Rattus norvegicus: one gene and its partners. The protein of the gene in region 4 interacts with the protein of the main gene of each other region in a pairwise test. Links are inferred from orthologs where the notes say so. Each region holds a gene or a part of one and is shown on either strand. Other genes may lie near its edges.

The links. The genes of interacting proteins can lie anywhere in the genome.
Region 1: the proteins of Ccdc136 (region 4) and Nebl interact in a two-hybrid assay, tested with the Homo sapiens proteins (2 studies listed by BioGRID and IntAct). The two-hybrid records come from large-scale screens. The link is inferred for Rattus norvegicus from reciprocal best matches to the Homo sapiens genes CCDC136 and NEBL.
Region 2: the proteins of Ccdc136 (region 4) and Mos interact in binary tests that used the Homo sapiens proteins (3 or more experiments, as listed by UniProt). The two-hybrid records come from large-scale screens. The link is inferred for Rattus norvegicus from reciprocal best matches to the Homo sapiens genes CCDC136 and MOS.
Region 3: the proteins of Ccdc136 (region 4) and Atp5po interact in binary tests that used the Homo sapiens proteins (3 or more experiments, as listed by UniProt). The two-hybrid records come from large-scale screens. The link is inferred for Rattus norvegicus from reciprocal best matches to the Homo sapiens genes CCDC136 and ATP5PO.

The regions. Positions count from the first base shown.
Region 1 is NC_086035.1:85,132,497-85,136,657, forward strand, and holds the start of Nebl (nebulette), read right to left. Parts: upstream 2,801-4,161; 5' UTR 2,619-2,800; intron 2,606-2,618; exon of another isoform or gene 521-2,605; 5' UTR 514-520; coding exon 433-513; intron 334-432; coding exon 262-333; intron 1-261. UniProt on the Homo sapiens protein: Binds to actin and plays an important role in the assembly of the Z-disk. May functionally link sarcomeric actin to the desmin intermediate filaments in the heart muscle sarcomeres.
Region 2 is NC_086023.1:21,657,049-21,660,142, reverse strand, and holds Mos (proto-oncogene serine/threonine-protein kinase mos), read left to right. Parts: upstream 1-1,286; 5' UTR 1,287-1,456; coding exon 1,457-2,485; 3' UTR 2,486-2,594; downstream 2,595-3,094.
Region 3 is NC_086029.1:44,654,684-44,658,807, forward strand, and holds the start of Atp5po (ATP synthase subunit O, mitochondrial precursor), read right to left. Parts: upstream 2,801-4,124; 5' UTR 2,797-2,800; coding exon 2,761-2,796; intron 1,685-2,760; coding exon 1,634-1,684; intron 255-1,633; coding exon 144-254; intron 1-143. UniProt on the Homo sapiens protein: Subunit OSCP, of the mitochondrial membrane ATP synthase complex (F(1)F(0) ATP synthase or Complex V) that produces ATP from ADP in the presence of a proton gradient across the membrane which is generated by electron transport complexes of the respiratory chain.
Region 4 is NC_086022.1:58,976,696-58,980,195, reverse strand, and holds part of Ccdc136 (coiled-coil domain-containing protein 136), read right to left. Parts: intron 3,054-3,500; coding exon 2,916-3,053; intron 2,589-2,915; coding exon 2,430-2,588; intron 1,949-2,429; coding exon 1,778-1,948; intron 1,411-1,777; coding exon 1,225-1,410; intron 1-1,224. UniProt on the Homo sapiens protein: May play a role in acrosome formation in spermatogenesis and in fertilization.

The DNA of each region.
Region 1 (4,161 bases), on a different chromosome or scaffold from region 4:
AGGACACCATTCGATTTAGTAGGACTGCACAGCCCGGAAGGGACAGGACCTGGATTAGGAATGAGAGCAATTGTTCTAGCAGGCATTCCCTGACTGCCTGACCTTGGGGAAACCACCTGACATGTCCGACTTAGTTCTATGATCTAGAAAATGACAATGCTCTACCTGATGACCTCAGGGTTTTCTCTCCAGCCCCGTGACTCTCCAACACAGCCATTCCATGGAAAGGAAGCAAATAAGTCAAAGTCTTAAACCACTTACGTCACTAATGAGCTCGGTGCACTTTCTGGCCAGCTCCATGCTTAGGTCTTCAACGACAGGTTTCAGAAACACCTATGTGAAAATTCAAAAGAGAGAGAGGAGGAAGGTCCTGTGTCTCTTTGCCTATTAAAGGACTGAGTTCTGTGGTTGGGCGAATTCTTTCTTGCTCACCTCGTCTTCTGGCTTTTCTTCCTCCTCCACATTTTCCTCTTCGGTTTCCTCTTTCACATCCCCGGATACAGGCACCTTCATCGTTACCCTATGGAGGTATTAATGCTTTCAAACGCGCGTCTTCTCCTGGACCACCGCACCGTGAGCTACAGAGTCTCTGGGGCGCTGGAAGCAACAGGCCTGCCAGACTAATCCCTGGCTCATGTTGCTCTCCTTATCTCAATGGTGTGTCAGTGAACACCCAGGATCCTTGAGGTCTGCCAGGTCCGGCCTTACAAGCGAAAACTCTCTCGGGAGTCAAAGCTCAATTTTACAAACTTAAAATCAACGTTCTTAGGATAGCAAAAGAAACCCAAGACAAAATGTTTTTTTTAATCTTTTACTAACTCAGTTAATTAAAAAAAATGGTCTTAAAGGGACTTGACAATTCTAGAAATCTACTCAGCTGTTAACACCTAAGATATCACAGCCTAAAGCCTGTTATCCCAAAGATTTCTCAACTTGGTCTAAATAAAGCCTCCTCTGGAATGCCAGTCATGGCTCTGTTTCCATATAGAGATCTGTACCATACAAATTCATTTCATTAACTTAAATTAAATGTTTTATGAGATTTTAATGTACTTCTCACATCCCCCAAAACTACTCACTTCATATTAGCTGATTAGAGGCTAATAATTTATTACAAAAAGCCCTTTGAACCACTTCAAAGAATCTATTCTGAGTTAATTACGACTGCTAATCTCAAATTAGGGAATACTGTACCATATTAATTGTAAACATCATTAAACATGAGAAGTTGAAGTTAATATATGTTGATATATTATTTAAGGCTTCAGGAAACATCGCGGCTTTGGAAATAATAATCCCCTGCATTTCTGTCATTGTGTGCATTTCCTTGAACTCACTAGCTATCTTTTATTGTCTCACTGTATCCCACACTTGGAGAACTAAGAAATTACGTTATCATATTTGTTGTGTCGACTATCTTACTAGTTCAATAATTAAGAAAATTCTTCTCACAATAAATCCTTTCTTGTCAATTTAAGCAATTCTAAGAATCTATCATTCCTGATATGTTAATTTGGCTGTTTAAATTTTAGGATAAAATTGCTTTTTATAAAAGTATTGCACATTAGTGATCAGCACTAGAAAAATGCCCCATGGTGACTAATTAAACTAATTACATAAAATACAGTTTTATCCAAAACAATACTTCATTCCAACATAGCAGAGTATATTTTTGATATCACATCTTGTTTTCAATTTCCTTTTAATAAACTATTATAAAATATTTTAAATTAAAAAACTTGAACTTAACAAGAGCTAATGTCTACATATCCCACTGAACATCTATGGGGTAGAATAACCATTTTGAAGTTGTGGGGCTAGCTTCAGGCTACATTTAATATATTCTTAACAATTGAATATAAACATCTGTACATATCCTCATCAATTTTTAAAAGAAAAATGCCCAGCCTTACCTAATAAGTCATTAGAATTCTGCACAACTATCATAAACATACTATTTCTCACATTCTTTCCCAAAAGGCAAAACTGTACCCCCCCCACATGCAAAATGATTGATAAGACAAAAAAGAGTGATCTAAAATAAATCTATTCAAGAAACCTGTAAAGGAATTCTACAGCTGCCGCATCAGTGCCACATGCCAGGGTGACACATGCAAAGATCTGTGATGACCATCAATCAAAAGCCCTACTCAATTTACTAAGCCTTTCCCTTCCAAAACATGGATTTTGTCTGCCTCCTCTCTTCCCATCCCTTCTGCCTACCGTTGTCTCTTAATGGCATCCAGTACCCTCTGGGAAAGACGACTTAGGAAAACATTGTTACATCTGACTATCTTCTATATGACTTGGCTTTCTCATGAAACAGTTTTGGATAGGGGTCAAATTAATGATATCACAGACCCCACTTAACCAGCAAAATGCCAGAAGGAAAACTGTACCCTGAATGCTAAATTGGGAAACTTTGAAATAACAGCCACGTCGTCACTCAAGTCTGCTGGAATTTTTCTCGTATGGTTAGGAATATGTGGTCTGTAGCAGTTTCCCTCATGACCTCTCTCAAAGGCTATTTTGCTCTTCTCTAGAAGCTCCTCTGTACTACCTTGGAGAAGGAAATGCTTTCTATGGATGGATGATTTCTATAAACTTTTCTTCCAAACCTTCAGAAGTATATAGGGAAACAATCCTGCCAACGCTGTCCAAGATGAACCTCTCGGCTGCCACTTCAGATGAGAATGCTTGTGTTGTTGTGGGTGATGTCCGTTTCCATAGAGAATGGCCTGCATGAGACTTGAGCGGTGTCTCTTCTCTTGCTGTGAGTCCTTAATGGTTCTTCACTGGGCTGCAAGAAAATAATCAGTCAAGCTTTAATGCACAAAAGTTTCAATGACACAACCAAACATCACACATGTTGTGAACATATTATTTTTTTTCTTTTGAGAGGTCGGAATCAGCATTTTAAAGTCACCTGGATCCTTAGTAAGTCTTTCAAGCTTGTATTCCCAGCCTCCTTATTAGGAGATGGGAGCAAAACAACCACAAATTCAAAGCCATCCCAAGCTACAGAGTGAGCTTCATGCCACCCTGGATGACTTAGAGAGGTTTCGTCTTAAAATAAACATACAAGGACGGCTAGGGTCATAGCTGGTTTACTGCCGTTTTCTTGTTTCTTTGCAAGGCCTTCTGTTGGACTCCAGTGCTGACATCCATCACAAACCCACGCTTAGAGTGCTTTCCTTCAGAGAGGACAAACTGAAGGCCAGAAACAGTGAACTACTGGCTTCATTTGCAGTGTGGTGTGGTAAGTGCTGTGACTGAGCCCGCTTAGCACACAGCGATGCTGTTGTGCTGGTTCTGCACCAGGTAAAGGAGACACAGTGGTAAGTAACACATATCCTGGGAGGAAAAATAAAACACCTCAAACCTTGCTGGGTGACCTCTTTAATGGACTTTCTGGCAAGCCACACACACACCATTACATTTGATTTAATGCATCTTCTTTTCATTTACATTAGAGGATAATATAAAATTCTTGTCAAGTTTCCTCTAAAAATTTAAACCCTGATGTTATCACAGTCAAGCTTTTCTGTCAGTAGGTCTAAAAATCTGACTTGGGGAATTTTTTAAAAAAGGATTCTTTGTGGGTAGTTATTATGTTTCAAAAATACCTATCCTTCTTATTCATAAATCCTAGTTTAATGTTGTATACCAATACATACTTTCACCCCCAGAGGGAATATCTCCACAGCTGCTAATCTCCTGGCTACTTTCATACTCTTTATGTTCTTTGTCTACATTTCTATTTTGCTCCTCTCTCCATGAAGTGATACAGAATGAGACATAAGAACATGGGGGATCACATTTCTCATGGTGAAGCCATGGAATTCCAAATCTGGCTTAACCATACTTTCTACCAAGGATCCTACCATGCTTCCCCGCCTCCATTTTGTCATAAATTAGAATGGCACTTTCATAAAAAGAAATCGCTTGAATTTTCAGTTACAAGATGAAGGTGTATAGTTATAAGAAAAGCACCAGGTACAAAAGGGTCTCAGTCTTTCAAAGGGTGAAGAAGGGCATCCCTCAGCAGCCTAAGAGTACAATAATAATAATAATAATAATAATAATAATAATAATAATAATGACAATGACAATAATAATTTTGAAGGCTCCTAAACTTGTGATAGCATGATGTGTACACAT
Region 2 (3,094 bases), on a different chromosome or scaffold from region 4:
TTTGTCCCTTAATATATTTGAAACTACTCAACTTTTATTCTCCCTAAATGTTTACTTTCTTAATTTATTACATAAAGCATCGAGGCTGTAACAATTATATACTCTGTGCAAGATGACACTAAACCATATCATCACCATTAAGCAGAAACCTGGAGTTTTGTGAACTTTGAGTTTTTTATATAAATGGCTCTCTGTTATCAACTTGCCTTCTCAAAATCTGTGATTCTGAGGTCAGAAGGACACAGCTGCCACATAAACACTGACCACTTATCACCATGTGCACAAAAACACGTTCCTGCGTGGCTAGAAAGTGTAACTCCTAACCACTTTGAGAAACCGTTTTTGAATGAACAGAGCAAGGTTGTTGTTCTTCCCTACTCCCCGGAAGATAGGGCATGAAAAGCAAACACATTATTATAAAACCAAAAACGACGAATGTGTGGTTTGACGGCCAGACCCTGAATTTATGTTCAGTATCTGATGGGGACCAGTGACTCTGGGCATGTCTGTCCTGGCTTTTCTCCTGTTTCTCCATGATTGCTGTTATTTTCAGCTATGGTCATCACAATCACCTTTGTCCCTTTCTTCCTCCTTCCAACTCTGCGTTAAATTCCAGGAACTTGTTTGCTGTGAAGTCTAGAATCTGTCTTGAAGCAAGCTTGCTCTGTGACCTAACTTGCCTGGGAAAGGAAGGGACGGTAGAAGTCAGTGTGTTGTTAAGGAGTCTTAACTTGCTGTTTAAATGAAATACAGTGTCAGATTGCTCCCTTCTGATGGACTTAGGAGGTACGAGTTCTGCCTTCTATCCGAGATTGTATTTGGATCAAAGACATTAAAATTACAGATGTTAATTCTTATGAAGGTTGCATCTAATAACCCTGCCAAGTAGTTCAACAAGTGTCTGCTGTTTGTACTGCAACTCTTGCAGCCAATAGCTGCTGGGACTGATTTAATGCAGCTGGAGACTAGCACGAACAATCATTATAGCCTGAAAAGTGTGCACCAAGTTCACTGTACTTTTGCTTTTCTCTTCAGTCTAAGGACCAATTAATGATCGTCAGAAGGTCCTTGAAATGTTTTTTCATTGTATTATGATTCAAGAATTAGTTGGAAGGAGAGGTGAGCTTTGGGGCAGGCCAGTACTGTTTAACAGGTGAGAGGTTGTTTTGCTAAGGATTCACTTTAGCTGTGAGAGAGCAATCGTTTCATCTGAGACTGCCAGGCTTCATCTGCACGCCCAACCCCACCTGATAAAAAAAAAAACAAAACAAAAAAACAAAAAACCAACCTTGCTGAGCAGCAAGACGTGAGAGCACAGTTGTGGCTGGTTTTGAGAATACAAGAAGAAGGGAAATGGGATGAAGGCGGAAACCTTCAGCCATGCTTCCAAACTTCCCTGGGTGTTCCTGGTCATTTCTCTCTAGCGTCTCTTGTGACTGTCCCATCTGAGGGTGTAATGCCTTCGCCTCTCATCCTGTGTCGCTACCTCCCTCGCGAGCTGTCGCCAACGGTGGACTCGAGGTCCTGCAGCAGCCCCTTGGTGGCCTCGAGGAAGGCGGGGAAGTTCCTGGGGGCCACTCCTCCTCGGGCCCCGCGGCTGTCACGCCGGCTGGCCTGGTGCTTCATAGACTGGGGACAGGTATGCCTGCTGCATAGGCTGGGTTCTGGAGGGTTTGGCTCGGTGTACAAAGCCACTTACCACGGTGTTCCTGTGGCCATCAAGCAAGTGAACAAGTGCACCAGGAACCTACGTGCATCCCAGCGGAGTTTCTGGGCTGAACTGAACATTGCAAGGCTGCACCACGACAACATAGTCCGGGTTGTGGCTGCCAGCACGCGCACGCCGGAAGGTTCCAACAGCCTTGGTACCATAATCATGGAGTTTGGGGGCAATGTGACTCTACACCAAGTCATCTACGGTGCCACCCGCTCCCCAGAGCCTCTCAGCTGCAGAGAGCAACTGAGTTTGGGAAAGTGCCTCAAGTATTCCCTAGATATTGTTAACGGCCTGCTTTTTCTCCACTCACAAAGCATTTTGCACTTGGACCTGAAGCCAGCGAACATTTTGATCAGTGAGAAGGACGTTTGTAAGATAAGTGACTTCGGCTGCTCCCAGAAGCTTCAGGATCTGCGGTGCCGGCAGGCGTCCCTTCACCACATCGGGGGCACGTACACGCACCAAGCTCCGGAGCTCCTGAAAGGAGAGATCGCCACGCCCAAAGCCGACATCTACTCTTTTGGCATCACCCTGTGGCAGATGACCACCAGGGAGGTGCCTTACTCCGGCGAGCCTCAGTACGTGCAGTACGCAGTGGTAGCCTACAATCTGCGCCCGTCACTGGCAGGGGCGGTGTTCACCGCCTCCCTGACTGGGAAGACGCTGCAGAACATCGTCCAGAGCTGCTGGGAGGCCCGCGCCCTGCAGAGGCCGGGTGCAGAACTGCTCCAGAAGGACCTGAAGGCTTTCCGAGGGGCACTGGGCTGACTCCATCGAGCCTGTGTGCAGATAAGCTTTTCGTTTCTGTTTATTTTTAAATAAGTAAGGATGGGCTTTTAGGGCATATTTTTAGAAAATAAAGTTACTACAAACTTCAGCCTGAAGTGCCTTTCCTAAGACTAACGAGGGTACAGATATCATGGGCACCACTCACGGTTGTTAAACAACCTGAGCCCTTTGTGTGTCACCTTTCTGGGTCTACTGTATCATTTCCGTAGTAAGGTTTGTTCCTGAATGAAAAGAGAAAGGGGGTGGGAGGAGGGGGCACTACTCCTAGGAATGAAGGAGAAAGTTTATTGCGGATACGAGGGAGACATAGGACATAGTCATAGACATGGACATCTGGCTGAGAAAGCCCAGAGCGGACATGTTCCTGAGCCATGTGAGAAGTAGTAGGAGGAGAAGGGGGAAGGAAGACAGAAGTAGGTACAGCAGCTGGAAGATTCAAAACGGGAGGGGGAGCTAAAATGGATTATATAAGAAAGGACAGCTGGGGAAAGGGCAGCCCAGTCCCTGGGTTGGAGAAGTTTAGGGCAGAGGGTGGGGCGTGCCAGTCTGGAGCACTCTGTAGTAGACAGGGACTGAGGGATGCAGGGA
Region 3 (4,124 bases), on a different chromosome or scaffold from region 4:
TCAGAATAATAAAGCTGTCTCATCATCAACAGCATGTCTGCAGTAAACATTCTTTGTAGTGTCTAGTGCTTCTCTTTAAGGTCATGCCCTGTTACAGTAACTGAAGACAATGTGGGAACAGGTCCAACAGGAGAGCTCCTCACCCCCACTCGCAGCAACTCCTTTTCCACCTGGTCCAGCCTTTTCTGCTTAGACGCAGCAGAGTACAGGGCGGTTGCATAGCGGCCTTCGATGCCGTAGACCTGGACAGGGGGCTGGAGACAAGAGGAGGAGGGGAGTGAGGTAGCTAAGCCAGGAACAGAATCACTCCTAAGCTAAGACCACGTTCCCACTGCCACACCATTTAAATACTTCACCAAGGGGCAGCCTAAGTGAGAATTCACAAACCAGGGATGACTCCCTGGCCAGGACCTGCCCTAACTTTGGAGGGGCAGGGAAGGCAGTGTCCCGTGTCCCTCCCAGCCTCCCTGCCTGCAACTGTTATGGCAAGCTTTTGCTTTCTTTGACCTCATGACCCCAGTGACAGTGCTGTCCTTAAGCACAGGAGTTTACTTAGTACCATGGCAGGCAGTTGTGAAGGTAAGCGGAGGGGGACAGCGTGTAAGAAGTGCAGGCGTGCGTCCCCATCATGGTAATGGTGTTTTATGAAGTTCTCGGGAGGGATAAAATGGCTCCACCCACAGAGGATGAAGGGATTTGGTGGTGTTAGGAAGTGTAGTGTGTACTGCTGTTAGTCCCATCTCACGTGCCCCAGAGCATTCTGCCTTGCTAGTCCTGAGGAGAGTGTGAGTGCAGTGACTGACCCAGGTGTCAGAGAGCACACGGCAGCCCAGAGTATCCTTACATTCTGCCATGCATGAACGAGTAATAAAGGATTACAAAACAAATGCACACACAGCCACACTCCAATCCGAATTCCGTAAGAGGGTGGAGCTGCCTGCATGGGGGTCAGTCAGACTCCTGGTTTAAAAAGAAAAGGGGTGTTGGGGATTTAGCTCAGTGGTAGAGCGCTTGGCCCTGGGTTCGGTCCCCAGCTCCGAAAAAAAAAAAGAAAAAAAAAAAAAAAAAGAAAAAAAAGAAAGAGGCCAGCAGACCTCTGCAATGCTCAGTCAGACTGTTGTTGGTGCCTGGAACAGTACCTGTCAGTGTTGACTCTACTTGAGGGAAAAAAGGTGCAGACTGCAGGCATACCTCACTGCTGCCAGAGTCAAGAGGCAACACAGAGTATCGACTATGTTAGAATCTGGGTACTTTACTTTCTTTTGTTACAAATAGCTCCTTCATAAAAAGAGAAGGAAAGGCTAGCTTGTCTATGGAGGAATACTAGAAAAAACAATTTAAGATTCTTTTATACATACCCTGTGTGTGTGTTGTCATCACCAGCCTTTACCGACTGAGCCCTCTTGCTGGCCCAAACAAGTACATTTTAGAACATTAAAGACTAGGGTTGAGCCCACCCTATGTGACAGGCACCTGACAGCATCCCCTGCATCCCAGGCAGTCGTTTGAGAACTGCTATCCTTGCAGACCAAGTTTAGTAATCGCACACACACTTCACGGTGTTTCTGTTCAACTCACTCCCTCACTGCTTTCCAACCACCCCCCCCCCACAGACAAATGCAAGCTGACATACCCTTACAAGCTTCGAAAAGGGCCTGACCACAGATGTGCTGAAACTCCGCACCTTTAGAACAGAAGAAAATAGATGAGACAGGGTTTCTGCATTAGCTTAGCAATAGGTTAAAATATTCCAATCAAAGAGCTGCATAATTCTTTTACATTATCGTCACAAAGCTTACATGACTGGGAACTGCTCCTTATTACCTATACATTCCCTATTGAGAGTCACCCCAAACTGCTTCAGAAACTGTCTTTCAACTGCCTTCCTCCCTGGGTAGTTGAGAAAGAAAATGCTAGCTTCTCAAAATTGAATTTAAAAAAAAAAAAAAAAAAGTCAAGAGCTTTATCACATTTGAGGAAAATGCTTTAGCAAAGTGGAGGATTTATATTTCTATCACCTTTGGGAAAAACTTTAATGAACATAAGAGGAGGCCAGCCTTGATTCGAGTAAACCTATGTGCTAAGGAATTGAAGTGATATCAAACACCAAAGATCTTTTCATATAGCACCAGGCACTGAGTCTGTCACTGGAGAAGCCTGGAATGCCATTTAAAAAGCACCTCTCAAGGGCACAGGTCACTGTCTATACTCCCATCTCTAGGGTGTACTCGACTAGAACTGGCTATGAGGGTTAAAAAGCTTTCTCAGGCCTTGATAAAAATTATGAATTAAGTACAAATTAAAATCATCAGGGCAGATGATCCACCCAATTCCAGTTTCTGCTGGACTTGGCCCGTTGCAATCTCACCACTTACTGGCTGCCAGCCAAAGAAGAGGTTTAACCCTTTCTTCCTTCTTTATAAACACATGGAATGCGCTTTACGAACACTCAATACTGCCAAGCAGCAGCTAGCCCTGGCAGGTTTACGAACAAGGCTAGACGTGTGCTTTCCCCAATTCTCTCTCCCATGCTTTTGCCAGCTGCTCAGCTATGCATCGACTCTTGGATGTCAAGGTCAAGATAGCGCAATTCGTGCCCACTCCCCACGGGGGAAAAAACGCGAATCAGCCCCACGCTTCCTGAAATGGCCGGGCCCCACGACCCTGGTGGGCGGCTTGACCCCTCAGCCACAGCCTCACACGCAGCGCTGGGAGTCGGGGACCGGGAACCCCAGGAGGGACCCTCCCGTCAGCTTCTACCTGTCGGGACAGCACGGATGTTGCTGGTGCGGCCATCTTTTCCCGGGCAGCTGTAGGTCAAACCCAAGTAAGAGACTAGTGATGCCAGAGCGCATGCGCGCGTCGGCGTGATCGCTCGGTTTTCTGGGAAATGAACGCACCAGGAGCCGGGGCGTGTGGGTAAGAACCTCTTGCACGCTGGGAGTTGTAGTCCATAGGTGCCGTGGTCCCGCTAGACTCTTGAACCCGAACAAGATCGGAAAATTAAATCTGAAACTAGGTTTACATTTAGATTCTTTGCATATGCATCGTCAACATCTCTGCCATGTCTAGAACCTGTCAAAGTGTGGTTCTGTGACAATGCTTCAGGCTTTACTTAAAACAAAAAAACCACAAGCGAATCTCCCAGGGGATAACGTCTTGCTTGGCTCTTCTGGCCTGATAGTTTTCCCTTTCCTTCTCAGTCTTATCATAGCCCTGACTTGTTAGATTTTGACTCTGTGTGCATTTCAGGACAGAGTTAATCCAGAACTAGAATCAGGGTTTAATCAAAGATGATGTAGAAAGTTAAAAACCCAGCACACCTTGGCCGGTTTTTCTATATTCATTTTCAACACACACACTCTTTTCCGCAATTAAAAAAAAAAGGTCAACATCCGACGACAAGGTTCCCGGTTGTAACGCGGTGTTCTGTGCTAAATTTAAAAGAAAAAAACAAAACAAAACAAAAACCCCCCTCTGCTTAGATGTAGTATAGGAATACATTTTAGTTGATTGGTCATTTTTAATATATATGTATGTATGCCTATGTATAATCATCATCATCATCACCATCACTGTCATCAGGAGAAAAGTAGGAGAATACACCCCCTTCTTTTCAACCACCCTGAGTCTTGTGCTGTTAACACAGTTGGGAATTGTTTACCCAAATATTTTTAGTCGGCAGACTGCCCAGGCTTGAATCTTTAGAGTTTTGTGACCTCGGCCTCTAAGCACACAATTTCCCTGTGCCTCAGTTTTCTGAGCTATAAAATCGTTATTCATAGTATTGTAGACCATTGCCTTACACTGTGTTGGGAAAATTAACATATTTTGGGTGCATAGAGCAGTTGACAGTTCTTTATTTTGTGTTTGTGCTTTTTATACATGCAGATATATATAATTTAGCAAAATATATAATTTTGCTTTTTACCTTAATATGAGGGAAGATGGATAGAAAATTATATGGGTTGCAAATACATTCCTTTAAAAATGGTTTTATGTGTATGCGTGTTTTCCTTCATGTATTTATGTGCACCATGTGTGCCTGTTGCTTGAGAGTCCAGAAAAGGACTTTGTGTCCCTTGGAGCTGCAGTTAGAGATGGTTGTGAGGTGCCAGGGGACG
Region 4 (3,500 bases):
TACCTCTAAGCTACATCCCCAGTCTTCATTATATTGTAAAACCTTTAGTAAAATAGGAGCCATTGCTGAATTTGGGTTAAAGCTACATCAGCCTCTGATTCTCAGAACCAGGAATTTTAAAGTCAGGTAAAATCTCAGCGGTTGGTACACCAGCATGTCTTTCACTTGTTGTAGGCTACAGCACTGTACGAGGTCTTGAAGCAAATCAGGGATCCAGTGGATCTCTCAACTGAGTGGGAGAGAAGAAAGCCAGCGAAATGCAAGCCCTGCGATGGAGCGGCAACCAGACTGTACCCTTCTCAATCTTCTATGTCACAACGGCCTTTCCCAGGGACACAGTCTTCTTTCTACTGGGAGAGGTGGGAGCCAGAGCACCTTTGCAGAATGTGACCTCACCATCTCCCAAGACTCTTAAGCCTCTTCTCCAAAGGGCTCCACTCCTCTCCAGTTCTATCATGATCCAAGGCTGATAGTGCTCAACAGGGGAAATGGCACTGGCTGACACCAATCTAATACACCACAGGAAAAGTGAACAAGCCCTTATGTATCACTGCTGGAACTATTTTCTTAAAGAAAGTGGGACAAAAATATTGTTCTGTACCATGCTGGGTATGGTGGTACATGCCTGTAATCTGAGCAATAAAGGCGGAAGCAGGAGGATTGCCACAAGTTCAAGAGTAACCTAGTCTAAACACTGAGACTCTGTCTCAACACTCCTATCCACCCCCCAACCCCCCCAAAAATAACATTTTGTTTAATTTGAAGCAAAATTCAAGATTTGATAATTTACTTCAAGTCTTACTATATCCTAAAAGACCACTGGTTCTTTTAATACTCAAATCAGCATTCTGGGTACAGACTACAACCTTAAAATCACTTGCAACCTGTTTCAGAAATCTGGCTCTATTCTCTTTAGTTTAAACATGTGTCTGTGCCTCTCTTCAAATGATGAGACTTTGATACAGTTTCAATGCCAATGTAGAAATACATATATACATGGGGTCATATGAAAAACAGATGTTTATACTGACTGAGATCCAATGTATCGATCAACTAAGCTATGGTTCTTATTCAAGTCAAGCTCAAGATGAACTGTTTTAAGGCCAGTAGACATGGGTCTGTCTTTGTCTTCTGCATTTAGCTGGGTGACCTCATCCCTTGTTTTTGTTTCTCCTCTCTCCCAAGCTGGTGCCAAAAGCACTTAGCACTCTCAAGTACAATTACCTTGTTGGGGCGGTTTCCACTGTCTTCACAAAAGGAATGGCTGGACTTGAGCTCTGTCAGCTCCTGCTGGCAGAGCATGAAGTCCTGCTCCAGCTGGTCATACATGTGCTTCTGCCGTTCCAGCTCATCCCTGCTGCACTGATACAATCCCTTCATCTCCTGTAGCTGGAGGTGTATCCCTGAATTCTGTGTAGGGAAGGCAGAGCCATCACCCATGGGATGTACGACTACTGCCTCACTCTGGACCTTCCCAGCCTACTTTCCAACCCAGACTTCATCCCAGCCAGGGAGAACCACACAGACCTATCCTTAACAGGTTTGACGCCCTGACCTGTGAGGCTTCCTCCTGAAGGAAGCAACAGGATTCCTTTCTGTAGACTGATTTTCTGGTTTAAAATAAAAGGAAACTGAGGATATCTCTATAGCAGCTCTCTCTGCATGTCCTGGGTCCACCTCACAGCAGCTCCTCCACAGAACTCCGACAATCCCACTCTGCTTACCCTCACAGAAGATCCTGCCTGGCTATGTGCTCCTGGCCTGGCCTTCCTTTTACCTTCTCATTTCTCTCTCGCAAGCAGTCCACCATCTCTCGGAGACGATGCATCTCTGACTCATGGCACCGCAGCTTGTCGTGCAGGTGATGCTGGACTTCTAGAAGCTGTTCCTTCTCATTCACACTGCACTGGTGCTGGGCCTGCAGCTTCTGGAGCCGGCACATTAACTCCTGCATGCAGGGGACTTTGGGTAGTGGTGCTGGGTTTTATGACCTTGCTCTTCTCCTGACTCAGCCACTGACCACCTGAGAATCTACCTCCTCCTTTTACTTGCCACTTGTGCCTCCCACCTATGCAGAACTGGAAGAAGACAGTCATCTTTTTGGTTTGTTTATAAACAAATGCAATCTAATCCCATGAAATCCAGTCTATGTAGCTGGCCCTGGCCTTGAACTCCTGATACCTCTGCTTCTATCTTCTCAGTTCTGTCTGTCATAACAGATATGCTCTATCACACTAGGTTCAAAAACCAGTTGCCCCCTTTTGATTTGTTTCAGTGCTGGGAGTTGAGCCTAGGACCTCACACATGCTATGCAGGCAGTCTACCAAAAGCCATATCCCCAGCTCTGGAGTTACCATTATTTGTATTCCCCAAGACCTCAGTCAGCACTGCTGGCCCCTCCACTGTCCCTTTACCTTTGGCACTGTTACCTTCTCACTCTGGCTCTCTACAGGTGTGCATCTGACGAGTTTGAGCTGCTGGAGCTCAGACTGAAGCTGCATCTGCACCTTCAGAAGCTCACTGTGTTCATCCTGGCTAGTATCATACTTTTGCTGCAGGGCACAGAGCCTGCTCTTCAGTTCCTCATTCTGTAGTGGAGAGGGTGAGTAGAGCAGTTACTCTCAAGAAGTAGCAGGGCCCTATCCAGGCCTCTGTGATAGATAGTTTTCTGAGGCAGAGACCTTGAGAAGAAGCTCTCTGGATCTATGTCTGAGTTTCTTCAGTGATGAAAACACTCAACAATGACACCTTTCCACATGCCATCCTATGCGGCTTCTATATGCAGGGGCTTTGGGTGGTGCTGTTGGGTTCTGGTCATAGGGTACGAGTTGCAGAGTTCAGCCTCACTCCTGAGGTCCAGCCTCCCTGGAGGCTGTGACTCTGAGCCCTGCTGCCCTTCCCCTGGCAGTGTTTACCTGGGTGGTGTGGCAGGTCTGAAACCGGAGCACCTCGTTCTGGGCACACTTGAGCTCCCTCTGCAGCCGCTTCTGCTCCTCCTCACTGGTTCTGCGGTGATGCTGCAGCTCTTCCAATTCACAGCACAAGTTCTTACACTGTGTGGAAAATGGAATGGGGCTGATTTATAGTAGAGCTCACATATTCACGTGCGCATGCGCGCGCCGAAATGAGAAAATATGTCATTCCTTTGATCAGAATATAGTCAGGTACCACATGATAATGTAGACTCATGCTGAGAAATCTGTCACCACACTACTGAACTATCGTGTAACCATTATAGAGTACACTTACACAAACTTAGATAAGCACGGCACGTGTGTCTGTGACTGTGCTTTACTGCTCCCGGGATGCTAATGTATACCCTGACAGTGAACTAAGCACAAATGGAAAAGAGGCCATTAATAGAGGCAACAGATACGAGACATTTGAAGATGCTGTCAGCATAACATGGCATCCTGGTCTTTTTGTTCTTGTCGGTGTTTTCTGAGACAGAATTTCTCTGTGTAGTCCTGGACATCTTGGAACTTCTTCAGGCTGGCCTC